4 linked regions of the Canis lupus familiaris genome follow. The protein of the gene in region 1 interacts with the protein of each later gene in a biochemical or structural test. Links are inferred from orthologs where the notes say so. Each region holds a gene or a part of one and is shown in the gene's direction. Other genes may lie near its edges. The genes, in order: STX1A, SLC6A1, SNAP23 and STXBP5.

Region 1 (7,656 bases):
CAGGTGGCTGGTAGGGTGCTCATATGGTGTCAGAGGCTTCCCTTCAGGGGCTTAATCTTGAAGATGTTTGCAGCTTGGGGCTTATGACCACCACTCTAGCTGCCACCTCAGGTCCCCAGTCCAGCCCTCTCTGAGGGCTGGCAGATTTCCAAGGGAGCTGGGGGCCTCATGATTCAAAACCATACGGGTGCCCCCTTTGTACATGTCGGCGTGGTCCACCCTGACCATCCCAGGACATTAGGAGATGGCATGCCAGCCTAGTTCCTCCTTCCTTTTGGGTCAGGAGTGCATCTGGGCTTGGGGTTTGTCATTTCCTTAGTGTCCAGTGAAACCTGATTGGGGTCTTACTTAACCTTGAGGATGTCTCTAGAAAGGTGCCATAGGGCTCTGGCCTAGATGTGGATGAGGTTGCAGGGGGCAACAGAGTCATGAGCCATCAGAGTCTCACAAAGCCCAACAAGGATCAGAACAAATGAAGACATTAAACAGGAAAGAAGGTCCTTAGCTTGAGCCTAAAATCCAGCCAAGTAGACATTGGTGGGGAAGGGCTTGGGGCTTTTCTGGACAGGAAGTACTACATGATCAATTTTATTGATCTCTGGTTGCATTAACAGAGGTAAACCATGTAAAAAGAGGGAGGGGATGGCCAGCTTTTTGGTACAATTTAGAGCACAACCAACAGTAGATTCAGTTTGTATCATGTACAAACTCTATCATGATAGAGGTTGGACCAAATGAGTCTGGGGTAGGGGCTGCAACTTAGGGCCCTGAGAGGGATCTGAGGGAAAGGGAATGGTCAACTTGAGAAGAAAAACCCAGGGAAAGTGTGGACATTGCCTTCAGATCCCAGGGAGAGGGTACCAACAGGTTCTTTATGGCGTGGGGCCATGCCACAGGAAAGGGACAATCGAGGCAGGCCAGGGTGGGCAGATCTGCCCAGGAAAGCAGTGAGCTCTCCATCACAGGGGGTGTGCAAGCTGAGGCTGGCAGCTGAGGCCAAGGTGACTTTTCAGGTCCCTTAGGGCCTGAGAGTCTGTGGCTGTCGTGTCAGGAGAGATGTGAATAGTGTGTGGGAAACCGGAGGAGCAAGAGACTGATCTGGGGCAGCTGGGGAAGGCTTCTGGGAGGAAGTGGCATCTAAGGATGAGGGGAATGTCAGCAGGTAGGTTGTAGCGGCAGGGAGATGGGTATAGGTGGGGTGTGCCAGGGTCCAGGTTCAGGCTGTGGCAGTGAGGTGATGGGGGGCAGGGGGGCAGTGGGTAAAAAGTCCTGAGGAGGAAGAAGTGCTAGGACTTGGTAAGGAAAGGGTCCTCACGGAGAATCCCCTCAAAGTTTTGCTTGGAGTCACCACTGGTGTGACCGAGGCTCTAAGTCAGGCCCTAAACCCTCCAGTTGACTTTGGGATCAATCTGAATGGTACCTTCGGGGTGGATCCTGACCTGGGAGCCCCAGTCAGGCCCTGGCCCAGGGGTCCCCTTCCTCGGCTCTGCCTTCATTGCCAGAGGTCCTGGAGGAGACCGTGGGCATCTTTCCTGCCATTCCCTGACTTCCCAGAAACTCCCTGACTCCAGCCTCAGTTTTCTGAGAAGTCTGTGCAGGGAGCAGGTTGGAGCTGCTGGTTGCTGGAGAACGTATGTCCTTGTTTTACAGACAGCCAAGCCGAGGCCCAGGGAGAGACTCCAGGCCAGATCCCAGGGGTCTCTGGCAACGGCTCTCGTCTCTGGAAACTCTGATGCCCTTGTCTTTGGCTCTAGCCGGTCATTACTCTTTCTGGGAGGAGAGCTGGAAAATTCTCCTTCTGTCCTTTCCTGTCCATCCCTATCTTTGTTTAGACCCCAAAAAGACAGAGAGGGCAACCTGCTGAAGGCTAGCAGGCTGCCCCAGAGGGGGCCCTGGGCTCCTCCAGACTGTACTCTGCCTCAGTTTCTCTAACAAGTCCTCCTCCAGCTTAGCTCCTGTGCCTGGCAACGTTCAAAAGTGTGGAAATGGCCTCTAGAGTCTCTTTGTCTATAGGTGGGCCTGGCTGGGGGGAGGGGGCCACCTGGTAGCAGCCACAGGCACTTGTGGGAGCGAGGATTTATTTTAGCTGCTGGGGGAGGAGGTGTGATCTCTTGATGAGAGGGGCCTGTCAGAGCCGCCTCCATAAAGCTCCCAGCCAACCCCCTCTCCTGTCTGGTCCCACTCTGGTGGGGCAGTGGGACCCTGAGAGCCCCAGGGGCACAGCCCTTTACAGACCATGCTGTGCCTTCCCACTCCGTCTTAGCCTTCTGCAGCCAGGAGTCACTGTCCCCACCGCTGCCAGCAGCAGACAGACCCAGGGGCAGGTCCCTCAGCCAGCCGCTGTCTGCGCGGGGCACAGAACCTGTCCCTCCCCAGCAGCCTGCCAGGTCCCTTGGCCTCCGTCGGGCCCTATTTTGGGCTCTGACCCTGACATAAGAGAGATCCAGGTGAAGGCTGGTGCCCAGCCTGCTCAGGTGACCTCCCCCTGGGTGCTGAGACAGGAAGGGGTGTGACCAAGTCTCATCACCCCAGTCTGAGGGGAACAGTCCCACCCTTGGGACCCTGGCCCCTGCCCTTTCAGCATGGTGGGCTGCTCACAGCCGCGACTCCAAGCAGGTGAGGGTGAGGCTGACGGGGGATGAGCTTGGCCAGCACATTGGGAAGTTGGAGGTGTTGTGATTACTCTGCCCCCGGATGGGGGTGGCTTTTGTCCGGCTTCTCCCTGGGTGGTGGGGTGGGGCCTAGGGCAGGCCCTGAGCCAGGTGAAGACTGGCCTCTCAGGCTGGTCAGGGCCCAGCTCTGGGCCTGGCGGGACAGAGAATTGAGGTCTGAGGTCAAGAATGACGGAGGAAGGCATCCCTGGGTGGCTCAGCGGTTTAGCGCCTGCCTTTGGCCCAGGGCGCAATCTTGGAGACTCGGAATCCCACGTCGGGCTCCCGGTGCATGGAGCCTGCTTCTCCCTCTGCCTGTGTCTCTGCCTCTCTCTCTCTCTCTGTGACTATCATAAAAAAATAAAATAAAAATTAAAAAAAAAAAATGACGGAGGAAGGGATGCCTGGATGGCTCAGTGGTTGAGTGTCTGCCTTCGGCTCAGGGCATGATCCTGGAGTTGCGGGATGGAGTCCTGCATGGGGTTCCCTGCAGGGAGTCTGCTTCTCTCTCTACCTGTGTCTCTGCCTCTCTTTCTTTCTGTGTCTCTTGTGAATAAATAAATAAATAAAAATTAAAAAACAAAAATGACGGGGGGAGAGCTGAGTTTGCAGAGCTGCACACACACAGGCTGCATGCAGGCAGTATCTCTCAGGCCTGCTTGAGGTGCAATGGGATGGCCCTTGTGTCAGCATCCCACCTCTTTGGAGGCAGGTGTGGGTGGCACTCAGGCCTCTCACTCCTGACATACCCCCCCACCAAAGGGAGCTTGGGAACTTTGAGCCCCATCCCAATTAAAACCTTTGGGACCAGGGACACCTGGGTGGCTCAGTGGTTGAGCATTTGCTTTTGGCTTGGAGCATGATCCTGGGTTCCTGGGATCGAGTCCCATATAGGGCACCCTGCAGGGAGCCAGCTTCTCCCTCTGTCTGTGTCTCAGCCTCTGTCTCTGTGTCTCTCATGAATAAATAAAATATTAAAAAAAAAAAAAAAAGCTTCAGGACCAGAAAGTAGAAAAGGCTGGTGTCCAGGCAGCCTGTCTCAGGCAAGGTCTGTGAGTTGGGGCCCCTAGCCAGGGAACCAAGCCTTCCCAGCTGTCCCCTTGGGTGAGAGCCATGCTGGGAGGACCCCAGTCCTGTGGGGAGGGGGCAGGCAGCTGGGCCAGGGAAGGAGTCCCTGGCCTAGAGGTAGAGACTTTCCCCATCACCAGCTCGGCAGGCAGGGCTTCTGTCTTTATGCTGGGTCCCCTGGGGTCCTTGAGGTCTCGCTGTGGCTGGGAGCTGAGGGCACAGCCAGACCTCATCCCTGCTAAGAGGACACAGGGCAGCAGTGAGGGCCCTGGACCTGAGCCTGCAAGCCTGCAGTATGTGGATGCTGGGTAGTTTATGGTCCCAGGTCCAGCAGGACCCTGTGGGCCTACCAGAGTTTTGCTCACGTGTACACACCCCTGTGCAGGCCAAGGACAGCGATGATGATGACGATGTCACTGTCACTGTGGACCGGGATGGCTTCATGGATGAGTTCTTTGAACAGGTGGGAACCAGCACACCCCACATCCTCGAATACTCTGGCAGACCTTGGTGGGGGGCCCATGTCTCACCCCCACCCCACCCGAAGCCTGGTCCAGCCTCTGCCCAGGGCCCACGGGCCTCCAGCTGGATCTCCTCCTGACCGGCTGGCCTTGGTGTGCAGGTGGAGGAGATCCGAGGCTTCATTGACAAGATCTCAGAGAACGTGGAGGAGGTGAAACGGAAGCACAGCGCCATCCTGGCCTCCCCCAACCCTGACGAGAGTGAGTGTGTAGGACTGAGGGGTGGCTTTCAGGCCTCCTAGAAGGCGCTGCTGTGGCGGGGGGGCAGGGGAGGGTGGCTTCCTAGAACCCCAGCACCCACGCTGTGTGTCGCCTGAGGGGTACCTGGGCCTGGCCCTCATGGAAAGCTTTGGGGAACACAGCTGGCCGAGGCCCGGGGTGGGGGTTAGTGCCTGGGATCCCCTGTTGGACCTGGGTCTCACACAGGTTTGTGTGAGTGGGGCGGCCGTCCTCGGGCCAGCCCTGCCCTCTCCAGGTAAGCCGGGTGGGTGGGTGCTGCCCAGCTCAAAAGGAAGCCTCTCCGCCCAGCCCCTCCCTTTCCTGAGCCTCCCCGGGGGAGCAGATGGCAGCGCTGAGCCTCAGCACCGTGGGAGGGCAGGCCGGCCAAGCAGGAGGAGCTTCCAGAAAGAGCTAGCAGCCCTGGCACCTGGCCCTGGTACCCCAGAGCTGGGCATTCTCAGGGCTCCAGGAAGTCACCTTTCTCCTTCCGCACAGGGAGCCTCTGTGTGTCTGCGTTCCACTCTGTCCCCACACAGGTCCCCCTGACCCTGCTGTCCCAATTCCTGGGGAGGTGTTGATGACTACACTGCCCTGTGCCAGGCTGACAGCATACAGGCCTGAGATTCCTTCCTCCCAGCCTGGGGGAGTCAGTGACAGCGCTGGGGGCCCAGGCCCATAACCTGGGCAAGTGCGCACTGCTTCTGCTTGCTCACCTCCTCTCGCTGCTCCAGCGCCTCTGGAAGACACCAGCTCACGGAGCCCCAACAATGCAAGGGGGAGGGTCCTAGCCATGGGAGGGCCAGGGGAAGCACTCAGGGATGGGTTTCTCCAGCAGGGCCTTCCTATCTGTGGCCCCTCAGCCCCAGTCCACTGGCACCCTCAAGCCCCCACAAGAAATCTCTCCACAGCCCCTAAAGTGTGTTTGAACCTGAGGCCAGTGCCAAGCTAAGCAGGTGCAGTGCCAGGCCCCTGGAAAACAAAATGAGTCCGCAGGGAGCCGGGAGACTGTCCTTGGAATGCGTGGGAAGGAGAGAGGGGCTACCCAAGGCAGAGCACACATTCAGGGTGTCCATCACGCGTTGCCCCTGCCCCCAGACATTTGTTGGGGATGGCAGCATGTGACATCTTATGTCTTTATGTGCATGTGTGTCTGAGTTCGTGTGTGTCCCTCCTGATGAGAGTCAGAAGGGGCTACCTGTGGGAACAGAGTCCTATAAAGAGCGAGGGCATTCACCTGCTGGAAGACGGGGTGAGCACAGGGCAACAGATGCCTGTTCATTTATCTTAGCTGCCTCGTGCCACCTTCCGCACAAAGTCTCCTCGCGTCGTACGGTCAGTAGCAGCTAGTTCAGATTTGCCACCGTGAGTCAGGACCAGCCGGTGGTCACTGATGTAGGGAGGGGGCTCCCCGGTACCGGTTCTAGAGCAGAGGGAGCAGTTAACAAGGAGTCACCGGGAAAGGTGGCAGCAAGCAGGGGGCTCTCCCGGCCGAGGCCTGCTCTGCCTTCCCTGGGGGCCGCCATCCGGGTTGGGCTATTTTGGATCTGAGCAAAAGAGGCAGAGACGTCAGAGCAGCTGGTAAGTTTCCTTTGTTTGTACGAATGAAGCGCCTTCCTCCGCTCCTCGAAGCCCCCCACCTCCCAATCCATTTAGTAGGTGCCCACCCAAAGTAACTGCTGTAAATGCCCTTCCAACACCCTCTAGGAGAGGGCCAGCCCCAGAGGAAAGCAGATGGTGGGTAAGAAAGGCCGAGCAAGAGCTCAGTCCTGGTTTCTTCCGGGAAGCAGAGTCCTGGGGTTGCCCTGAGCTGGGGCAGGTTGCTGAGGGAGGCAGCCACCTTGTCCCATTTGGCCAGCTAACCCCTCACTGGGGTGGAGCAAGCTGGGTACCCCCACGGCCTCCGCCAGCTTTAGAGAGACAGTTCAGCTGGAACAAGGGCCAGAAACACTAGGCTGTGGCCATCCCCCAGCTTTGCCGTCACAGGACCAGCCACCTGCTGCTCCAGGGCCACCTGTGTGCCAGGGGGCCCACATCCCTGAGGTTCTTTTCCATCAACTCCCACACAGGCCAGGTGCCTCATGCCCCCATCCACCCACTGGTACTCGGCAGTTGGTCTCCATTGAGCTCAGCACCTGGAAAGGGGGAGCAGTGACTCTGCATAGAATAGGGTCTACCCCACCCAAGGTGCTCAGTGGAGGGGGACCCACTTCAGCCTCCCTGGCCCCTGGCTCTGTCACCCTGGTGGCTGGATGCTCATCCCCCCAGAGCTACCAGGTAACTCTAGGTAAGCCCGCACCCCCCCCCCCCCATCCGACTCAGGCAAGCATCAAGTAAATGTTCCCCAGTGCCAATGCCAGCATTGCCAGCTGCTCCACAATTATTTCTGCCTTAAATTTAGACCCGTCTGTTATCCGCAGGGGGTGGGAGAGCCAGAGAAGGAGGAAAGGAGGCTCCTCGGAAGCAGCACAAGAGGGGGTGAGGCTGCAGCTCCTGTGGCCCCAGGCCCAGGGCTGGAGGGGCAGGCAGAGCCTTAGCCCGCGGAAAGGGGAAGGCTTGGGACCTGGGCCTGCCCGCGGGCTGAGCCTGAGCATCAGGTCACAGGGGGAGCCCCGGGTTTACCCTGTCCCCCTTCTCCCTCCCCAGAGACAAAGGAGGAACTGGAGGAGCTCATGTCTGACATCAAGAAGACAGCAAACAAAGTTCGCTCCAAGTTAAAGAGTGAGTCTAAGCTCCAGGCCTTGTCTGGGCAGTAGAGGGGCACTCTGGGCCCGCTTCCCTGCGTGGCCCTGGGGTCTTGCTGACTCTCGGGTACATTAGGTCTTGGTCTCCTTTTTGTGGGTGCCGTCATGTGCCCACTCACAGCTGCTTCCTGGCAAGGCTTGTCTGGGGCCAGGCTCGGGCCGTGCCTTGGGACAGATGCCTGAGGCTTCAGTGAGGGAGTGCCCCCCCCCGCCCCGGGCAATTGTCCCTCACTTCAGCAAGAGGGGGTTCAGGGGGCGGTCAGCACTGCCTGGTCCTGCCTGGAAGCCCTGGTGTGTTTGTGTGAGCACAGGTGCAGAGCTCCTGCAGATCGGGGCCACTAGACTGACCCTACTGGGTGTGGGCCCTCGTTGGGCACATGGGATTCCTGAGCAGAAGGCATGGTGGGCCTGAGCTGCCCAGCCTCACACAAGCAAGCACTCACACGCACAGCTTGC
Region 2 (6,439 bases), on another chromosome or scaffold:
TTACTATTCTGCTAGTGGCATGAGCCTGCTGTTCCTCGTGTTCTTCGAATGTGTCTCCATTTCCTGGTTTTACGGTGAGTGTCAACCCTCCTTCCAGCTTCCCTCCCTGCCTCCCTCCCTCCCTCATTCATTCATTCATTCCTTTCTTCAAGCATCATTCGAGATATACAGCGTGAAAACCAAGCCCTTTCTGTACATTGGTTGACAACTGATGCTTAAACAACCCTGTTGGGAACAGTACAGCCTACTTGTTCTGTGTATAAATACAGTAGAGCATTTTTCCATTACTCTTTTCACTACAAGACAGTACTGCAAATGTATTTTCTCTTCCTTAAGATTTTCCTAATAACACTTCTTTTCTCTAGCTTACTTTATTCTAAGAACACAGTACATAATACAGAGAACATACGAAATATGTATTGATCAATTGTTTGTTATTGGTCAGGCTTCCAGTCAACAGTAGGCTACTGGTGCTTAAGTTTTTGGGGAGTCAGAAACTACATGAGGATTTTCGACTGCATGGTGGGGTCAGCACCCCTAACTGCCACATTGTTCAAGGGTCGGCTGTATTCGGTCCTCACAACAATCTGATGAAGTTAGCAGAGGGGGTCCCGTGTTCAGGAGACACCGTAAGACAGGCTAAATAAATTCACTTAAAATGGGAGCCAAAATTTCTTCATAGATTGGGATAAGAGGGATTTTTATCTAGAAAAGCGAGACCAAAAGTACAAAAGAAAAAGTTCTAAAGTTAAATAGTTAACAAAAGTGGGGCCATGATTAAAGCATGCACTCCCTTAGAACAAAGAATGGAGGAAACGATGATTTTATTTGTTTACCTTGTGGACTGAGGTTCCAGACCCTGCTGCATGATGGTCAAAAGATCCTTCCCTGCACTTTGATTATCACAGCAAGGCATTGTGTTCGAAATGTTTTTCTGGGTCCCTCTTAATCCTTGATATTCACTGTACTTTCTTCACCACCTGCCCCTCCTTGTCATCCCCACCACTTCGCTCTCAACTGGCTTAATGCTGTGAGATTCTCGCTGGTCGGGGGCTTTGTTCAGAATCCGAGGGATGTCGGATGTCAGTCTGGGAACTTCAAAACACCTGTGGCATTCTGCAAGATTTGTGGTTCTTTGCAGGCCATCAGCAGTCGCTTATAGCATCAGATCAGCAGGGCTTTGAAGGAATGGCCTTGTCCACAGGGCTTTGAAGGAATGCCAGGCTACCTGTTGGGTGGGAGGGACTTTGAGAGAGGTGAGGACATGCTTTATAAGCATATCCCTTTGTTGGTGGACATTTTCACATGTAGGTGCCTGGCTTTCTTCCTGACATAATCCACCTGCTGGGGGTTATTGAATGATTAGATAGGGAGGCCCCCCCTAGAGTGTTAGCCCTATGTTACAAAGAGGCTCAAGCTCCTAGAGGTCAGGCGACTTGCCTATGGTCATTACTCTAAGAAAGTGGCAGACTGAGACTTTGAGCCTGCAGTCCCCACAACTCATTCATACCTCCTGCTCTCACTCCGAATGTCACAGGTGTCAACCGATTCTATGACAACATCCAAGAGATGGTTGGCTCCAGGCCCTGCATCTGGTGGAAACTCTGCTGGTCTTTCTTCACCCCAATCATTGTAGCGGTAAGGACAAGTCTTGACCAGCCCCATTAGGATGAGACCAGACCAGGCCCTGGGGCGACTCAGGTCCAAAGAGAAATTTCTGGAAGCAGAGGCACCTATTTCCTAAAAATACTACTACATCCCATTTGCTGAGCCTCTACTTTGTGCCCTATACAGCACCAGACACATTACATAGTCCTCGCAAACCTCAGCAAAATAGGCATTCTTGCCTTCACTTTGCTGCTGAGGGACCCGGGTTCACCCTGCCAGCATCACCCGGCTAGTTGGTGCTGCATTCAAACCAGGCAGGCCTGATTCTGAAGCCCCAGCCATGGGCTCAGGAAGGCTTCTCATCCTCAGCATCCTTTATTCCCTCACGCAGGAGGAAGCTGAGGCCTAAGCAGCCCTGGGGTGGCCGCCCCAGGTCCTTGGGGTGGGGGCTAGACCACTGGATTGGTCGTGTCCTGCACTCTGGCTTGCCAAGCTGATTAACTTGGAGGAACGGATGCCTTTTGCTACTGATCCTCCCCGGGGGGGGGGGGGGGGGGTCCCTTTCTCTATCCTGTACAGAGATGTCTTATGTAGGAGCAGTGGCCTTCGGTGCAGGATTCCCACATGCTGGGCCCTTGTGAGGGTCTGCCTCATGGCAAGGGAGGTGGTCAGTGGATCTCTCAGCTTCAGGGTCTGGGAAGGGGCCTTGGTTGTCCAATCTGGGTGACTAACTGTGTCCCATTCCCTCTCCTCCACCATCCGCAGGGTGTGTTCATTTTCAGTGCTGTGCAGATGACTCCTCTCACCATGGGAAACTACGTTTTCCCCAAGTGGGGCCAGGGTGTGGGCTGGCTCATGGCTCTGTCTTCCATGGTCCTCATCCCTGGGTACATGGCCTACATGTTCCTTACCTTAAAGGGCTCCCTGAAGCAGGTAAGTCCCTTCTTCACCCTTCAGATTGCTAGTCCCTTTCCCCTACCCTTGTGGAGATCACAGTCTAGTTAGGAAACAGACAACTCCATTTCCAATGATAGCAGAATGTTGGAAGTGCCAACATGTGCCAATCATACTGGGGAGATGGGCAAGCCCCGCCTGGATTGAGGAGGGTTAAAGACGGCTTCTTAAAAGAGGGGATAGCTAAGAAGAGGCCTAAGGATGAGTCAGAGTTAAGAGTAGAAGCAGAAAGAATGTTCCAAGAAAGGTGGATGGGAAGCATGCGCAAAGGCCCGGGGGTATAAACAGCATTTGGCGAACTGAAGGGAGATCATTGTGGCTGGAGGGTAGAATGGAGAAGGATGCAGAGGGGGTGATAAGAGAAGAGGTTGGGGATGTAAGAAAGGCCAGATCATGAAAGGCTTTCAAAATTAAGACAAGAACTTTGGACTTTATCTTGAGGGTAATGGAACGCCTCAAGAGTTTGAAGCAGGCGAAGGGTGGGGTCAGTTGTACTGCGGACTTACTCTAGATCTCTTTTGTGAGCTTTATAAAGACAAAATGTGGTCTTACCCTCAAGGAGATGTGCCTGCCAGCACATTCTAGGTCCACACTAGCTCTTTGTTAAGTTATATCAAATTCTCAAGTGAAACAAGGCAGTGCTGGAGGTACCCAGGTGCTAGAGACATTGATGGATTAAGGTAAGCTGAGAAGATTTCCCTGAGGAGGGGTGAATAATCAGATACAGAGGGCCACGGCTGGGAGGCCCCGGGATCAATGGTTCTCAACCTTATTTCTACTAAGATGGACCTTCCAGACTAATCAGAACCAGAAGAGGGAGCTCTGTGGTCTGTGGTCTAAGGAAGACAGTGTAAGGGAGGCTCTTGGACCAGCCTCCTCCTTTTACAGAGAAACTGAGGTCAAGCGAGAAATCACTTCCCTACCCCTTATAGTAAGTTATTAGGAGAGCGGAGGCTTGCAGCCCTTTCTTCAAATCCAGGCCCAATGCTTTCATTTTCCACAACCCTGGAGCTGTGAAAGGCAGTCAGGTCTTGGAGTGAGAGAGAGGCAAACGCAGTGCATTTGACGAGGGGTACACAGCCTGTGCAAAGGCCCAGGAGTGGGCACATCTGAAGACACGGTGCATTATCTGAAGTGACAGGATTTCAGGGAGTATGTGTAGAGAAGGTAGTGGGAGATTCATCCATTCAGGAAATCTGTATTGAACACCTACTGTGTGCCAGACAGTGTTGTCAGTGCTAGAGACACAGCTGTGAGAAAAAATAGGCAAAAATCCCACCCTCATGGGGCTTACATTCTAGTAGAGGAAGACCAGCAATAGCAAACTAAAAACATGTTAGATAGGAATGACTATGGAGACAGAGTAGAAAGGGAGTGCTGAGTGAGGCCCTGCTGGGAAGGTAACATGGAGCCAAGACCTAGGAGGTAGAGATCGAACTGTGTCATGATCTGAAAGGAAGGATGGATCAGACACAGGGCACAGCAAGTGCAAAGGCCCTGGGCAGGTATGTGTTTGGCATGTGAGGAGCAGCGAGGAGGCCAGAGAGTACAGAGGATGTGGGGACGAGGCCAGAGTCTGGGTGCGTTTTGAAGGCAGAGCAGGCCTTCCTGACTTGAAAAGAGGGTGGGGGAACGGAGAGGCCAGTCTTCCTCCTCCCAGCCCAAATTCTCCCTGGTGCCCACAGCGCATCCAGGTCATGATCCAGCCCAGCGAAGACATCGTTCGCCCAGAGAACGGTCCGGAGCAGCCCCAGGCCAGTGGCTCAGCCAGCAAAGAGGCCTACATCTAGGGGTGTCTGGCGGCTTGCCGACCCGACACTCACCCCCCAACCTGGCTGAACATGACCACCACTTGATGTCTGAAGATACCATCGATCTCAACCTACCTCGAGTGGCGAGTCCAGACACCATCACCATGCAAAGAGAGGGGAGGTGGGGGACAGTCACACCCCCGGTGGGCCCCGCCGTGGGCAAAGATACCCGATGGCTCCAGCACCTGCAGGCTGGTGACCTTTTGAATCCGGGCCCCATAAGCATCAAGCAATCAGCCTTCGTGACTGTGCAGTAGATCATTTTTATCCTGCCAGTGAGTGTGGTGCAGTGAGGCTCACACACTCGGGGCTTTTAGTCATATTCCTGACTGTTCTCTTACTGCCGAAACCCATGACTCTTACTCTCGGACTTTGCCGGAGTTTGGTTCCGTCGGAACGCTGCTCTGTACACACGCAAAGGGCATTTTGTATAATGGGGATTTCCAGGGAGAGCTCACCCTTCAGTAGCAGGGAGCCAGCGGAGCTCTTACTTTCATTTTTTTGTTTATCCTTCCCGAGGCAGCTTGACAAAAGCACCCCCAAGGACATCCATCAGTGTCCCCCCACCCCAAGCTGCCAGCTGAGCTGTGTCTCCAGCAATCTGCAGAGCATCCTCCCCGCCCCCTCCTAGCCAGGCCATGCTGACTGCACCTGGCCCAAGAGCCATCATTCCAGACGGCCCAGCTCCCTCACTCCGTCCTTGGAAAACTGCCACAAGCACAATTGATTTTTTTTTTATTGCCATTCTGGGGGACCTAAGATTCCGCTGGGGAAATTCCCTAATCAGAAGCCCCAGTTTTTCTTAGGCTTGCCCCGTTTCGTGGAGCACAAATCAGGTGCGGAGGAAATCAAGGTGAAGGTTTCTCTGTCCTTGAGTCAAAATGGATGCAGTTATCTTTCCAGCTCCCCCTTCAGCTGTGTCCTCACTGCCGCCCCAGTCAAAAATGCTGCCTTCTTCGTTCATATTCCTCAGCGGGAATCCCCTCACTGCCACTGAATCTCCCCAGCTACTAACTGAGGAGCTAGTGTTAATCCAGACCACCCCCACGCCCCCACCCCTCAAAGTGCTTCCAAGATTAAACTGCTTCATTGAGAGGTAGTATTTGTTTCTTTCCGGAACTGGGCTCCGTGGTGGTGGTGGTGGTGGTGGTGGTGGTGGTGGCGGCGGCGGCACATCAGGCAAAGACAGTTTCTTGCAAGCTCCAGTGACTCAGCGTTTCTCATTTGCCAGGAAGATGGGTTCCCATGTAGCAAATCGTATGTTGTGTCCCGTAGCTCCTTAGCTAGTTAGCTCACAAACTGTGTTTTACAACTAATCCTTAATAATTATGGTAAATAACTGTGACTGTGGGTTTTTTAATCTCTTGTCATTCTCATCCGACAGTGACCAGCATACCCGTTCTTGCAATAAGGTATTACCCTCAGAATATTAAGCACATTCTTGTAGAGAAACAAAAAGTACATGTACACATATAAAGGCACACACATATACATTCATCCTCCCGTGTGGTATATAGGGTCTTATCTGGTATCGTTTAGGAAATCTCAAACCTTTTCCTGAGGTCATCTGTAAAATAGTCTCATTGCTAAGGCATCCCAAATGCCAACTGGTGAATCCATGATCAAAATGCATATGTGTTGTTAAATTATAGGGTTTAGAATGAAAGGAACCCTTCACTGTGTCTCATGGTCCCACCCCCCCATCCTGTGTGAATTCCTTTAGATTAAGGGCAGGAAAACTTCTGACTTTCTCTTTGTTCTTCAATGTGAAACTAAGGCCGAGTCTTTCTAAGACAAATACAGTGTACTTAATGTTTGTATGCAAATCTAATTGAGATGTTTGGCAAGAAATCCCCTAACTGATTTCCATCCAAACCTACTTATAGAGCACAATATTACGTGTCGTACAATTCCAGTGAGAACTGTGAATATGTGTACCTTTTTTTAGTATTTGCCCTGGGGGAAAAGATATTGTATTATCATATATGCTTTTTTTGCAATAAGGGTTTATTCTCAGAACACCAAGTAAATCTATCTCTATATAAAAAAATATATGTAATATATAC
Region 3 (7,656 bases), on another chromosome or scaffold:
TTTCACCTGTTGTACAATCTGACATCCTGATAAAAGCTGCACTTACCGGGGCACCTGAGTGGTTAAGCCTTCGCTCAGGTCATGATCTCTGGGTCCTAGGATCAAGCCCCCACATCGGGCTTTGCTCAGCAGGGAGTCTGCTTCTTCCTCTCCCTCTCCTTCTGTTCTCTCTGTCTCTCAAATAAATAATTTTTTTTTTAGAAAAACTGCATTTACATTACTTTTTTTTTTTTTAAGATTTTATTTATTTAGTCATGAGAGACACAGAGAGCCAGAGACATAGGCAGAGGGAAGAGAAGCAGGCTCAATACAGGAGCCCAATGTGGGACTTGATTCCGGAACTCCGGGATCACACCCTGAGCCAGAGGCAGACACTCAACCACTGAGCACCCAGGCGTCCCTATTACTTCTATTAATACATCTGGTTATTAACTTTCTGATAAACTAATATGCTGTTTATTTTATTCACTTGGGATTCTTCTGCTTTAGAATTTTGTCTGAGACTTAACCTTATATACATGAAAATGGGTTTCATCAAACTAACAGATAATTATATATAAATATTCATTTAAAAAAGGTATATCCTACCTTGTTCCAAGACAGATTTAACATGGCTTATTAATAAATTGATTAATTAATTAAACATAGTAGCCCAAGTAGGAAATTGATTTTGAGCACTTAAAGTGGAACCAAGAAAGGCACTTTGATTAGCTCTTCAGTGTTCATAGACGTATTTACCTTTTCAGTACCTCTTATAAAAAAAAAAGGTAGTAATATCCTTTCTGTAATCTGATTAAGGTTTAAGATCTGATTATAGGTTTGCTAAAAAGGAATCCTTATGTCTATTAAGAAAGGAGCTACCGTTTTCATAAAAATCTTTCCTCTGTTTTTGTAGTTTGGAAACTTCCTCATTAACATGTGGAATAAATCAGAGACCAATATTATAGCTATATACTTTTTGTTTATAGAAAAGTAAAAAATTAAAATTGTGTAAGTGAAAAGTGTACCTAGCCAAATAATCAGTAAAAAAGTTTTGTGTTATTTTTTTGTAACAGTCATTTAAAAGTTGCTTCACAAGGCCTTCCCCGCCCCCGCCCTTGCCATTATTACCAGTTTGAATGGTAAATCCCTATGTTAAGCTCTGGTTTTGTCTATATCAGTTACACCTAAAGTATATGTTTTTATTTTTAAGAGGTCTGGATTTAGGATCATTTTTTTAAAAGGAGGAAAAGTAAACTCTTAAATGAAGAAGCCCTAAATCAAAGAATTTATAACTGGTGCCAGAGTGTCTCAGATAGTTATCATTGGCTGTTCAATTTGGAAATAATTCTTATGCCTTTCCTTCATGATGTTTGTTTTTTAATTTAATGCAAAATTCTAACTTTAAAAACTGAATCAGCTGGATCTACTCTGGTTCAAATAAATGGGCACCTGGGATCTGAGTGTTGCGTACTCAGCCTTTTTTCTCTTTCATCCCTCATCAACTTGTGAGATCTCTCCAGGAACCTCATCAGGCATCACGGAACACCTTTCCTGAGGAATTTTTTCCACTGTTTCCTTTTCTGAAGACTGTCAAAGGCTAGGGGAACCTGGAAAATCAGATAATTGCAGTTCACTACTTGCTAACTACTTAGTGAACATTTCATGGAAATAGTTGAACCTTTAAAAGAATTTTTAATGTCATTGGGCTTACACAATTCATTTTTTTCCATATATTGTATTGCAACAGAGCACAGTATAGCTAATCTAGATCTAGCTGTAGGTAGCTTTTATGCTAAGGTTGCTAGGGTCATCCTCTAGGTAAAAAGAACTAATAATTACAATTTTTCCCTCTTGCTTTTTCATATCTTTCTACACTCCTGACTCTTATATAGGACAAAGAACTTTGAGTCCAGTAAGGCCTACAAGGCAACATGGGGAGATGGTGAAGACAACTCTCCTAGCAATGTAGTATCTAAGCAGCCAGGCCGAGTGACAAATGGGCAGCCTCAACAACCAGCCACTGGAGCAGTTAGCGGTGGATACATTAAACGGTATGCCAGCTCCTCCTGATGTTTTTACCCCTTTCCTAAATGAATGGCTCAGGAGGGTGGGTGTTGTTAAACACGAACCCTAACTCATCAATCAGAAATAGTGTTTATTCCATTTGAAAATGTATTTTAAAATCTGCCTTCTAACAAAATGTTGACTGTGGTTATTGACTTTCATTGATGGATTAATGTTTCTTTATATTTTTCAGTACTTTCAAAATTACCCAAGTAAGCATGTTTTAGTTCTATAAATAGGAAAATGTGTTTTAAAATGTATCATGGGGATCCCTGGGTGGCGCAGCGGTTTAGCGCCTGTCTTTGGCCCAGGGCGCGATCCTGGAGACCCAGGATCGAATCCCACATCGGGCTCCCGGTGCATGGAGCCTGCTTCTCCCTCTGCCTGTGTCTTTGCCTCTCTCTCTCTCTCTCTCTCTCTCTCAGTCTGTGACTATCATAAATAAATGAAAATTAAAAAAAATTAAAAATAAATAAAATCTTAAAAAAATAAAATAAAATGTATAATGTATGGGATACCTGGGTGGCTCAGCATTAGAGCAACTGCCTTTGGCCCAGGATGTGATCCTGGAGTCTTGGGATCAAGTCCCGCATCGGGCTTCCTGCATGGAGCCTGCTTCTTCCTCTGCCTATGTCTCTGCCTCTCTCTCTTTCTCTGTGTCTCTCATGAATAAATTCATAAATAAAAAAAATAATGTATCATATAGGAGTGCCGGGATGGCTCAGTGAGTTAGGCATCTGACTCTTGATCGCAGCTCAGGTTTTGATCTCAGGGTCATGAGTTCAAGCCCCGTGTTGGGCTCCATGCTGGCACCCCCCCCCCCCCACCAAAAAAAAAAAAAAAAATCTAGAGTTAGGGATTGGCTAGATACCTATAAGGATAACAGTAAAGGGCTAGACGGTAAATATTTTAGACTGCAGCCTGGTCTCTGTTGCCAACTACTCAACTCTGATTTATGGTGAAAGCAGCAATAAATAATACGTAAGCAAATGAGTATGGCTGTATTTAAGTAAAACCTTATTTACAGAATCAGGTAGAATGCCAGTTTTTTGCCTTTGAGCCAGAATTTTACAGCCTGTTTTACAGCAGTGATACTTTAGACTTAAGGTGCATGAGTCACTTGGGGGTTTATTTAAACATTGAATGCTGGGATCCACTTCCAGTTTCTGATTCAGTAGATCTGTAGTAGAGAGTGAGAATTAGCATGTTTTCATGTCTAATAAGTTCCCAGGTTATATTGTGATCACTCTTTGAGAACCATTGTTCTAGAGTTGTTTCTTCTCCTATACGGCTTTAAGACATTTTGTTCTCTTTGGTTATTCTTTTCAGTTTCTACCACAGGATGTTTTTCAAGAATGGTAACCTGCATTGCTGTGGGTCTAACGCTTGCTGAGGTCATTTTGGTTATTTATATAAAAACTAAATCCAGATTTAGTCTGTTTATAATTTACCAGAAGTACTGAATTTACTGTATTTTTTGTGACAGTATAACTAATGATGCTAGAGAAGATGAGATGGAAGAGAACCTGACTCAAGTGGGCAGTATCCTAGGAAACCTAAAAAACATGGCCCTGGAAATGGGCAATGAGATCGAGGCTCAAAATCGAAAAATAGACCGGATCACAGAAAAGGTAAATGCTCCCTCATGCCACAGGAATTTGAGATACCCACCATTTTTCAGTAATGTACATCTGTGCTTGATATTTTGGGGGGAGAACAATAAGAGATGATCCTGTCCGTACAGGTCTTATACTTTTGATGAGGTGGCAATTCTAACACATTGAAAAATTACAGCTAGGTCCTCCTATCTTTTGCTCATGGCAGTCGGTTCATTTTGAAAGCAAGACCTTAGAATGAAGTGGTTTTATTTAAAATTTCACATATGAAGCTTACAGTCTACTCTGACCTTTGGGAGGGCTATGTAAGTTCCTAAATCCTCATCTCATAAATCAGTAAGTGAAAATCAGTTCTACACAATGGTTCTTGTGGAGTGGACACACAAAACAGGGTCCTATGAGTAAAGAAAAAATGGAATTTTCTTTTTTTTTTTAATTTTACTTCACATGATATAAAAGATACCAAAAGTGAAATTATGTTCGCTTTTTGGATGTGTTGTGCCTAAAAGCCATTCTTGTTATTGTTATTTCATTAAAAACCTCAGTGTGCTTTAAAGGATGGGGTGAGTTTTTAAACTTAGTTCTGTTGAATTACTTAACAGTGTACTTCATTGAGGCAAAGAGTGGTTCATAAGGTGCTTTCAAAGCTGTCTTGTGGGTTTACATATTACCCATCTTTTAAATTCAGATATTGATGCAGGTGGTAATGTATCTATTAAAAAATCTTGAAGAATGTTCTTTCAGATTCTCTGGGTTAGACCTAGAGTAGTCTCAGATAAGATTCTATGATTCAGTTCAGGAAGATTTCCAGTGTCCAAATCTGTAACAAAAAGCATTCTTAATTTCACTGCATCAAAAATGCCATTGATTATAACATACATCCCAGTTAAACTATGAAAAAATGTTACAGAATTCATGAAATACGGTCAAGTTCTTCTGTTATATTTTTGTTATGTTTATATACCCAGTTTTCCCAAATGAATTTCATGTTCTGTTTCTTCTTGCCCAAAATGAATTTTGTGACTTTGTGTTTCCTGAATTTTCTCAGTGTGTCAGTTACTCCAAGTGTATGAAATTTAACTTTTATTAGAGCAGCTTACCTTGTAACATAATGCTGATATATTTTTCTTTTTTTCAGGCTGACACCAACAAAGATCGTATTGATATTGCCAATGCCAGAGCAAAGAAACTCATTGACAGCTAAAGCTGCTGCTGTACTTCTTTATCATGTATTCACTTCTCTAGCTCCTCCTTCAAAGCCATTACCTTTTCAGAGTTTGACGTTTTGGTTCCATGCTCTTCTAAATCAGGAGATAATGTGCAAGAAGGGCCAGGAGTACAGATCCCCTATTTTTTTTTTAATGTTCTCTTTCCTTTGAGGGTACACTATTGCTTGTCTGTCCTTGTATATTTTTTTTTCCTTGATTCATAGTTTTAGATTGGTTTTTATACATCTTATATCGTGTTATTTTTCATCCTTCTCATTTACTTTAGCAGGTTCTTTTGCTTTCAAGATTTGGAAGCATTGCCAAAGACAGCCATGAAGAAGGAAACTGGGGGCAAGGGGAGCATAAGGAGGAGAGGCAAGAGATAAGAGGTTGTTACCTCAGTAAAACTTGCATGCCACAAAGCAAAAATTGCATAGCCACAGTAAAGATCTAGCTGGGTTTAATTTTTAATTTAAGCTGCAGTTATTGCCAGTTTAGGCTAATCCTTGGTAACGGAGCTTTTATACACAATATTTTTGTTATACATCATAACTTGGTAACCTCTGCTCCAAAAAAAATAGAATTTTTTCAAAGTGAGCTTAGTTGCTGAACTTCTGGTGATTTGTGTATGTACATAGTGATCCCATTTCATATTGCACCTTACAGGAACACTTTGTATAAATGAATGGCTTTTTATTTTCACGTTATTAGTATCATGGTCCCATTACATGCTTGTTAACCTCATAAATTTGTCATTAGTCTTTGAAGAAAAAAAATATGTAAATATGTATGTGTAACATGAGAATTTCTCTCTAAAGCAGGGCTTAAATTTTTTTGGAGAAGTTTGACAAAGTATATCACGTGAATTCAGATTTACCTCAAAGCCAAGAATTATGTTTTGTTTTGTTTTGTTTTTTAAGAATTATGTTTAGATAGGCTAAAAGAAACTTGTTTTGATCTCAGGTAGAAAAATAGTTAGATTGCTTTGAATTTTTTTGTAGCTTTAGACTTTAAAACTAGAATTTATTGTTTAACTAAAAAGTGATTTGGAAAATTATGCCTTTGGTTTAATTATTGATGACTGCACTATCATTCAGTTAGCCTTGTGGATTGAATTATGTCCAGAATCACATTTATTTAGATCTTGAACAGTGTTAGAAGAATCTGTTTGGTATTTGTCACCCTTATTTAAGAACTAGTGTCTGCATACTTCAAAGCTATTAATGTGGATTGGTTTGACCAATAACCACTGCTTGATCTTTACAATTAAATTTTATAACTAACTAATGGAATTGTTCTTTCAAATAGGTAATGTGGGTTTTTTTTTACTAGTTGGTGGGAACCAGGGGAAGGTGAATAATTTCACTAGCTTGTAACAAATTGAATAAAGCAAAGGTCCATAAATCAAGAAGCACTCTGATGGAAAGCTGTCTTTGGCACCTTTCCCATTTTTTATTGGAAATACTGACAGGACTTTTCCTACAATTTGTTATGAGGTTCATTTTAATTATTCTAAGTCTCTTATTCATTTGAGCTTTAATACACTAATGATTGAAAGGATGTTTATGAGCAACAACTACAACCCATCTACTGAAGCTACTGTTAACATGAGGACTTTCATAGGCTGAAGAGGAAAATATTTAGAGTGAGATTCATTCAGGCCCTCTGGAATAGAAATGCTCCATGCCATGGACAGTAGCCCGGGTAGCTCAGCAGTTTAGTGTTGCCTTTAGCCCAGGGCCTGATCCTTGAGACCTGGGATCAAGTCCCATATCAGGCTCCCAGCATGGAACCTGCTTCTCCCTCTGCCTGTGTCTCTGCCCCTCTCTCTCTCTCTGTCTGTGTGTGTCTCATGAATAAATAAAATCTTAAAAAAAAAAAGAAAAGAAATGCTCAATGCCAAAAGCAGTAGTTTGGCAGGTAATGGTATATGTAAAGGAAGAAAGTATAAAACATTGGGGATTGTGGTACACATAAATGCCCATAGAACATTAAAAAATTTTTTTTTAAAGATTTTATTTTTTTATTCATGAGAGACACGGAGAGAGGCTGAGACACAGGCAAAGGGAGAGGCAGGCTCCATGCAGGGAGCCCAGTGTGGGACTCGATCTTGGGGTTCTGGGACCACACCCCAAGACGAAGGCAGGCACTCAACTGCTAAGCCACCCAGGCGTCCCCCGCCCCGCCCCCAAAATTTTTCTTACGTTACGGCTAAAGACAATAGTTCGTAGGATACCAAAATGCTGCCCCCACAATATAATTGGTTAGAAGTGTAAGCTAAGGCACTCAACTGTCTGAATTTATACTCTGCCACTTACTGAGACTGTAAGCCCATTTCTGTGCCTCAGTTTCCTTGTCTATAGATGAGGTTAATATTCCTCCTCCATAGAGTTGTCACAAAAAGTAAGTGTGGGGCAGCCCCAGTAGCCCAGCAGTTTAGCACTGCCTTCAGCCCGGGTCATAGGTCCTGGAGACCCGGGATCGAGTCCCACGTTGGGCTCCCTGCATGGAGCCTGCCTCTCCCTCTGCCTGTGTCTCTCCCTCTTTCTCTCTCTGTGTCTCTCATGAATAAATAAAATCTTAAAAAAGTCAGTGTGGTGATGCATGTAAAGGACTGAGAGCAGCACCCAACAAATATAAGAGCTTAATATAGTTGCTATTCTCTTGGGTGGAGCTCTTTTTGGGTCAGGAATCTCTGTGGATTTGATGAAAGACAACATGGCCTATCTCCCCAAAGAAGTAGATAAACAAAAACTTGAATCATGCATAAGTAAAAATCATGCATC
Region 4 (7,656 bases), on another chromosome or scaffold:
ATTCAGGTAATATGTTATATGGATCTTCAGAGGCTATTATCTTTAAATTAATCAAAGTTTAAAAAATGTTTTCATTCCAAAGCTGTAAGTATTTTTTTAGGTTCTCATTTTCGTTTTAATTTTATTAAATTAATAAATATTTCTCTTTTCCTGTTGTTAAAGATATCCTATATTTGAAAATCCATACCCTTTGAGTATACATGAATCACCTGTTACATGTTGCGAATATTTTGCTGGTTGTCCTGGGGACCTTATTCCTGCACTTTATTCTGTTGGAGCCAGACAGAAACGTCAAGGTTACAGCAAAAAGGTATAGAACATGAGTTTTAGTAATTAATGTTACATTTCAGTAATTTATATGTATCACCGTGGAGTATTTTATAACATTGATATCTTTTTTAGAGAAAGTATATAGAAAATCCCTTTTTGAAGCAAAATATGTTTTTTACTGTTGTCATAGAAATATATATGAAGATGTATGCTTGGAAGTTGCTTTATACAATAATTTTTTTTTATAGGAATGGCCCATTAATGGAGGTAATTGGGGCTTGGGTGTTCAAAGTTACCCAGAAATAATTATTACAGGGTAAGTAAAATCCTGTTTCACCACTAAATCTCTAATAGCTAGATATAATTAAGACTACATGAATATTAATTAATTGGGCAGGTAATGCTTTCCTTTATGCTGTAACTTATTAAGAAATGTTGTTGTCTGGAACCTGCCAGTTTACCCTGAATTTTATGCTGCTTTATTTTGGTTGCTGTCTTTTCACATAACAGTATACTTCAAAGAAAGAAAAATATGTAGGGTTTTTTTTTTCTTTTTTTCTTCACAATTTTAACTCATTTGCTTTTCATAGGCATGCTGATGGATCAGTTAAGTTCTGGGATGCTTCTGCAAGTAAGTAATTTGAATATTATTTGTTATATGTTACACAATCACTGTAACATATACAACATGTTTTATAATTGCATAACCAATATTTAATTTAAAATGTGGGAGCTATGAGTTTAATACCTGATTTATCAAGTATAGTTTAGAATTTCTAATAGATGTTTAAGATATTTTTAAGGATATTAACCAGTAAATCAATAATGATTCTCAACAAAAGTAATCAAATTCTGTCTTCAAAATTTCCTTAAATCAGAGATGAAAATGGGAATATATTTCAAATCAACAGAAATTTGTAGAATAATTTTAATGCCTGGGTTTTTATTTTAAGATTTGTTTTTTCATGAGAGACACAGAGAGAGAGGTAGAGACACAGGTAGAGGGAGAAGCAGGCTCCCCGCAGGAAGCATGACATGGGATTCGATCCCTGAACTCCAGGATCATGCCCTGAGCCAAAGGGAGACGCTCACCCGCTGAGCCACCCAGGCACCCCCTAATGCCTGATTTTATACTAACAGTAATTTGTGCTTTCTTGGCAGAATATATATATATATAGTGCTTACACAATATCAAAAAAGGAAAGAATGGTTTGAATCATCAGTGTTTGCCAAATATATATAGCAAACAGTGAGAATCTAGTTAACTTGTGATCTTTTGTGTTTCATCATATAGAAGTGTGAGATAATATTTATTAGTACCTTTTACAGAGAAAATATGTAGAAAATCATTTTAGAAAGCAATTATGTTCTTTATTATTTTCATTATATTTATACTTTTTTTTGCAAAATCTATTTGTCTTTTTTCAGGTTATCTAATTCATTATCATGTGTTTTTTGTTTTGTTTTTAATAGTACACCTTTTTTTTTTTTTTTTTTTTTTTGGTCAATAGGTACAGTGATTGCATTATCTAAAAGTGTAATTGAGAAATATAGACCTGAAAATAAAAATATGGTTCAAATAAATATAGGCTGTTTTCCTTAGATAGTTTGACTGACTAGATATTACCTTGTATTCTTTTTGTATTAAAGTATCTAACAAATGTTTTTTTCTAGTAACTCTGCAAGTATTATATAAACTAAAGACATCTAAAGTATTTGAAAAATCAAGAAATAAAGATGACAGACCAAACACAGACATTGTAGATGAAGATCCATATGCCATTCAGATTATCTCCTGGTGTCCAGAAAGTAGAATGCTGTGTATAGCTGGAGTTTCAGCTCATGTCATTATTTACAGATTCAGCAAACAAGAAGTGATAACAGAAGTCATTCCGGTAATAGTCTCTTAATTATTTTCAGTGTCAAATGTCTGACATTTAAAATTTTTGAACTATTTAAATTATTTGAAGTCAATTTTATCTAGAATTTTTAAGAACACTTAAGTGTTTACATCGCCATCTATCTTTTGTGGAAAGTGTATAAGATGAATAATTATTAAAAGAAGAACTGTCTTTCTTTTACAACAGATGCTTGAAGTTAGATTGTTATATGAAATAAATGATGTGGAATCCCCAGAGGGCGAACAGGCGCCGCCTTTGCCAACACCAGTGGGGGGCGCCACTCCTCAGCCCATTCCTCCTCAGTCTCATCCTTCTACCAGTAGCAGTTCATCTGATGGGCTTCGTGATAATGTCCCTTGTTTAAAGTATGTTATTAAAAAATACAGATGTTTTGGAAATAAGATAAATTTAATTTAGATAAATTACAAGCTTTATTACAGTGATAATTTCCTGTGATAGAGAAAAATGACATTTCTTTCTGGGTTGTGCTGTGGTTAATACAACCCATTCTTCTGTGGTATCAAAAGGAATATGATTGAATTCCATGATTTTTATCTTTGGAAGTGCTAAGATTTGATCTGTAAACATACCCGTAGAACAGCGTGGATCTTTTCTGTATATATAGCTCAATCTTCACATCTATAGATGTTTTCTACTCTGGATTCAATGTGGATCAAATATATATGTAGACTGCTTTCTACTGCTCTGAAAGTTCTGGTTTTTTTGTCTTTAGAGATTCAGTCATTTTGTAATCATTTTCTTGGCTTTCTGAATCTTCTCTAGCACACCAGTATCATTATTTAAATGCCTTTATTGTAGCATTCTGGATATGAATACATTTTGCTTTTTTAAACAGGAATAAATTGGGTACAACTTTCTTATCCTTTCTTTTTCTGACTTATATTATTGAGTTGTTAAATGTTTTAAAGGATATGAGCCTTAAATATGACATAGAAATAAAAGAATGAGGAAAAAGTTAAGATCACTGAAAAATTTTATAAGACTGTGATTAATTACATTTACAAAGAAGTTCAGTTGGGGTAATAACTAAAAAAAGTGGTTATGGAAAATGTCAAAGAAATTCAGTACATGAGTTGAGGTGCAAAAGCCAGATTAGTAGATTCAAGGTAGGGAGGCCTAATGAGAGATCATTGGCATTTGTTAAAAGAACCAGGTTTTGTCCTGGTTGTATTTTAGATCTACTGGAGTTTCTTCTCTTGATGAGTAGTAAAGAATTGCTGTGGAGAATGTCTGTGTAACTAGCATTGCATTGCAATGACTCCAAAGATATGGGCAGATTTTTTTATAGCATAGTCATTTAAAAGGTGTAGACTTTTTTTTAAAGATTTTTATTTATTTATTTGAGAGATTAGCATGAGTACTAGTAGGGAGAGGGAAGCAGCAGAGGGGGAGAGAGGAAACAGACTCCCTGCTGAGCAGGAAGCCCAATGCAGAGCTAGATCCCAGGACCCTGAAATCAGGATTGAGCCAAAGGCAGACACTTAACCACCTAAGCCACTCAGGTGCCCCCAAAATTACAGACTTCAAAAAAAAAATCTATATGTTTATATAAATTTGAGATTGTGTGTTCTATGTTAGTGGTTCTCAAACAGAGATGTTTTTGCTCCTCATCATTTTATTGGCAATATCTGGAGACGTTATTAGTTGTCAACAGTAGGAACAGGGTGCTACTGGCATCTCGTGCATAGAGGTCAGGGATGATGCTCAAACGTGCAGAACGGTGCCCCGCAACAAAGAACTTGCAGGTCAGAATGCCACTAGTGCCAACAGGAGACTCTGATCTGATCTAAAAAATGTAAGCATTCAGGTTAAGCAGCCACATTTCTCAGAAAGGTCTCAGGGTTTTTGGGTGTTTTTTTTTTTTTTTTTTTTTGGCCCTCTCTCAAGTATATACATACACATCCTCCTTTTTGCTACAGTTCTGGCACATGTTTTGCTAGAATGAAATTGGAAATACAGAGAATTCTACATTCTTCCATGTTGTTACTTACTCAGTACTGCTTTGCTTTAAACTTAAATTTGTAAAATTTCCATTAATGTTCTTTGATTTTAATGTGTATTTCTCCAGCCTTTGTTAAGTTCAAGTCTTATAAGCCTGTAAAGTACAATTTGTCTTTGATGTTTGTTTTGATAACATTTTTATGGCAAAGTTTTTAAGATTTTTGTCTAAAATTGACAAATTTACCAATGACTTTTTAATCACAGGCAATTTGAGTTATACCTCATTTTTTTTCTTCTGAACAGTTTTCTGGTAAATGCAGTTATTTATTACCTTCACATAGTTTTCATCCACAGTCCCAAAAGCCAATTTTTAAATGTCAGAAATATAATCAAATTGATATTAAAATAATTACTACTTTGTTTTTATACAAAATGCTTGCATATGTAATTGTTCCTTTGAAGAAACATTTTAAGATTAGTTACTCAATTTATTCCTATAACCAGTAAAATTTTGTGTTTTTAGGTATTTTAATTGGGCTTTTGCAGTCCGAACAGACATTTTGAAACAGCAAAGTCTCCAAACATACATTTAAAATCTATTTGTATAGGGCAGCCTGGCTCAGCAGTTTAGCGCCACGTTCAGTCCAGGGCCTGATCCTGGAGACTCGGGATCAAGTCCCATGTTAGGCTCCCTACATGGAGCCTGCTTCTCCCTCTGCCTGTGTCTCTGCCTCTCTCTCTGTGTCTCTCACAAATGTATATATATTTGTACAAACTATGGAGCTTTTTATAAACGTTCAGCTCCTTGTCTTTAAAAAGTAAAACCTTCATTTACATATATTAAAATATTAAAATAATTCACATGTAAACATTGTAGACATAAAATATTATACCCACCCATCCCCTATTTTGCATTTTAAAGATTTTATTTATTTATTCATGAGAGACACACAGAGAGAGAGAGAGAGGCAGAGACACAGACAGAGGGAGAAGCAGGCTCCCTGCAAGGAGCCTGATGTGAGACTCCATCCTGGATCCCAGATCCTGTGATCATGCCCTGGGCCAAAGGCAGACATTCAACTGCTGAGCCCCCAAGTGTCCCTATTTTGCATTTGTAAATCTAACCTATCCTGTTATTTCTTGATCCCATTTCTAATTTTTTTACCTATTGGGGATTTTGCAGCAGGCTTGACTGGCTTATTTTTGCTTAAGAATTTTTTGTTTGTTTGTTTATTCTTACTAATTAAGAATTCCATGAATTTTGTATGTCTTCATCACTGAAGTTTTAAATGTCCCCATGTACGCACTTCTGATACTATCCCTGTATTTTTGTTCCTGCTCTAATCTAATGTGCATGTTAAATATGCTAGAAGAAGGTGGACACTTCTTTGAACCTTACCTAATTTATCCAAGGAAAAAATAACACAGATTCTTCTATTCTGAAGAATACTCTATTTTCATTTCTATATCTTGAGATGGACAGCCACCACTGATTAGTGGTATTTCCCTGAGAAAAGCCAGAACGTCTGCTCATTGAGCATACAGTTCTGAGTGTCCTGCCTTATAGATATTGCACGAAGTGACTGTAACTCCGTTCATTTTTGGAGCACCCTCAATGATTCATGTTTACTCTAAAATTTGGACAATAAGAAGACAACTGGAAGGACACCTAGGTGGCTCGGTGGTTGAGTGTCTGCTTTTGGCTCAGGGCATGATCCTGGAGTCCTGGGATCAAGTCCTGCATCGGGCTCCCTCATGGAGCCTGCTTCTCCCTCTGCCTATATCTCTGCCTGTGTGTGTGCGTGTCTCTCTCATGAATAAAAAAAATAAAGTCTTTAAAAGAAAAAAAAAAAAAGACATCTGGAAAATGGCAAAACCAGAATTTAGACTCTAGCTTTTCAAAAGCCCTCAGTTCTTTCTACCAACATCAGACCTTTGCAGCCAGGCTTTGAAGACCCTTTAAAGTCTGGACCTAGCCTATCTTGCTATATTGATTTCTCACTGTTACTACACATACCTCCACTATGAGCAAACTTACACACTTGTTAATCTTTGACTGTGGGTTTCCTACTACTAGTTTGCATATGTTTGCAAAAGCAATATATTTTGAGCACCTATTCAGCAATTATTGGGGAAAGAGTCTACAACCAAAATTACTATCAACTTAAAGAGTACTTTATTTTATTTTATTTATTTTATTTTTTAATCTTTTTTTAATTTTCTTTTTAAAGATTTTATTTATCCATGAGAGACAGAGAGAGAGAGAGAGAGAGAGAGGTAGAGACACAAGCAGAGGGAGAAGCAGGCTCCACGCAGGGAGCCCGACGTGGGACTCAATCCCGGGTCTCCAGGATCAGGTCCCGGGCTGAAGGCAGCGCTAAACCGCTGAGCCGCCTGGGCTGCCCAAGAGTACATTTTTTTAATAGTGAAAGCATCATGCACACAAAAGTAAATTTGTCACTTTTTTTTTTTTAATTTTTGTACTCACTATGTTTTGGCTACTTTTAATTTTGTTAAACCATATATTTAAGTCTATTTTTCTAACTTGAATTTTTTTCCAACTTGATTTTTCTTTCCTCTTCTTAATTCATAGGCTTCTCATTCTCCTTATTCCTTTCCCCATTCCTCCCTCCCCTTCCTACCCATGGTCTTTTTCTCCCTCCCTACTTCCAACCCCCCAGTCTGTAATGGGAACTTATGTATGATTTCTTACTTTTGTTATTTATGTACATACTTTGTCTCCAACTAGATTAAATGCCTCTAGAGAACAGGATTTAGCTTTTTTTCATTTTTGTATATTTAGTACAATTTCATATATAAATTACTGTTTGCATATTTATGCATGACTTTATAATTACAGAAGTTAATAAGATACTTGAAGATGGGTTAAAAGATAATATGTTTTCCTTTATTACAGAGTTAAAAATTCACCACTTAAGCAGTCTCCAGGTTATCAAACAGAACTAGTTATTCAGTTGGTATGGGTGGGTGGAGAACCACCACAACAAATAACCAGCCTGGCAGTCAATTCTTCATATGGATTGTAAGTATAATTTATGTGTTTTTCAGTCTCGTCATACTATGCCATACATTTTTTTCATTTTTAAAAACAGGATGACTTTTATTAGAGCATCAGTTAAAAAATTGTATAAAAAGTTGTTTAATTTCAGATCATATTTAGTGTTTATTTGGAAAATAATTCTGTTCCAAATAAATTACTCAGGATATACTTATAGTGCTTCATGATAAATTAAGATAAAGGTTCAAAGTCAACATGTGGGGATCCCTGGGTGGCGCAGCGGTTTGGCGCCTGCCTTTGGCCCAGGGCGCGATCCTGGAGACCCGGGATCGAGTCCCACGTCGGGCTCCCGGTGCATGGAGCCTGCTTCTTCCTCTGCCTCTCTCTTTCTCTCTCTGTGACTATCATAAATAAATAAAAATTTATTTAAAATAAATAAATAAATAAAAAATAAAGTCAACATGTCTTCTCCTGGATAAACTCTGAGAAACAATTTCCTTCTTA

What was found.
Region 2: the proteins of STX1A (region 1) and SLC6A1 form a complex in vitro, tested with the Homo sapiens proteins (2 studies listed by BioGRID). The link is inferred for Canis lupus familiaris from reciprocal best matches to the Homo sapiens genes STX1A and SLC6A1.
Region 3: the proteins of STX1A (region 1) and SNAP23 form a complex in vitro, tested with the Homo sapiens proteins (3 studies listed by BioGRID). The link is inferred for Canis lupus familiaris from reciprocal best matches to the Homo sapiens genes STX1A and SNAP23.
Region 4: the proteins of STX1A (region 1) and STXBP5 form a complex in vitro, tested with the Homo sapiens proteins (2 studies listed by BioGRID). The link is inferred for Canis lupus familiaris from reciprocal best matches to the Homo sapiens genes STX1A and STXBP5.

What each region holds. Positions count from the first base shown.
Region 1 is NC_049227.1:6,486,591-6,494,246, forward strand, and holds part of STX1A (syntaxin-1A), read left to right. Parts: intron 1-4,104; coding exon 4,105-4,182; intron 4,183-4,341; coding exon 4,342-4,441; intron 4,442-5,160; exon of another isoform or gene 5,161-5,567; coding exon of another isoform or gene 5,568-5,708; intron 5,709-6,876; coding exon of another isoform or gene 6,877-6,934; intron 6,935-7,102; coding exon 7,103-7,177; intron 7,178-7,656. UniProt on the Homo sapiens protein: Plays an essential role in hormone and neurotransmitter calcium-dependent exocytosis and endocytosis.
Region 2 is NC_049241.1:7,415,748-7,422,186, reverse strand, and holds part of SLC6A1 (sodium- and chloride-dependent GABA transporter 1), read left to right. Parts: coding exon 1-74; intron 75-1,537; coding exon 1,538-1,638; intron 1,639-2,373; coding exon 2,374-2,541; intron 2,542-4,247; coding exon 4,248-4,352; 3' UTR 4,353-6,439. UniProt on the Homo sapiens protein: Mediates transport of gamma-aminobutyric acid (GABA) together with sodium and chloride and is responsible for the reuptake of GABA from the synapse. The translocation of GABA, however, may also occur in the reverse direction leading to the release of GABA.
Region 3 is NC_049251.1:9,780,728-9,788,383, forward strand, and holds the end of SNAP23 (synaptosomal-associated protein 23), read left to right. Parts: intron 1-1,874; coding exon 1,875-2,033; intron 2,034-3,532; coding exon 3,533-3,677; intron 3,678-4,800; coding exon 4,801-4,866; 3' UTR 4,867-6,157; downstream 6,158-7,656. UniProt on the Homo sapiens protein: Essential component of the high affinity receptor for the general membrane fusion machinery and an important regulator of transport vesicle docking and fusion.
Region 4 is NC_049222.1:38,629,012-38,636,667, forward strand, and holds part of STXBP5 (syntaxin-binding protein 5), read left to right. Parts: intron 1-162; coding exon 163-310; intron 311-518; coding exon 519-586; intron 587-860; coding exon 861-901; intron 902-1,944; coding exon 1,945-2,165; intron 2,166-2,357; coding exon 2,358-2,536; intron 2,537-7,050; coding exon 7,051-7,176; intron 7,177-7,656. UniProt on the Homo sapiens protein: Plays a regulatory role in calcium-dependent exocytosis and neurotransmitter release. Inhibits membrane fusion between transport vesicles and the plasma membrane.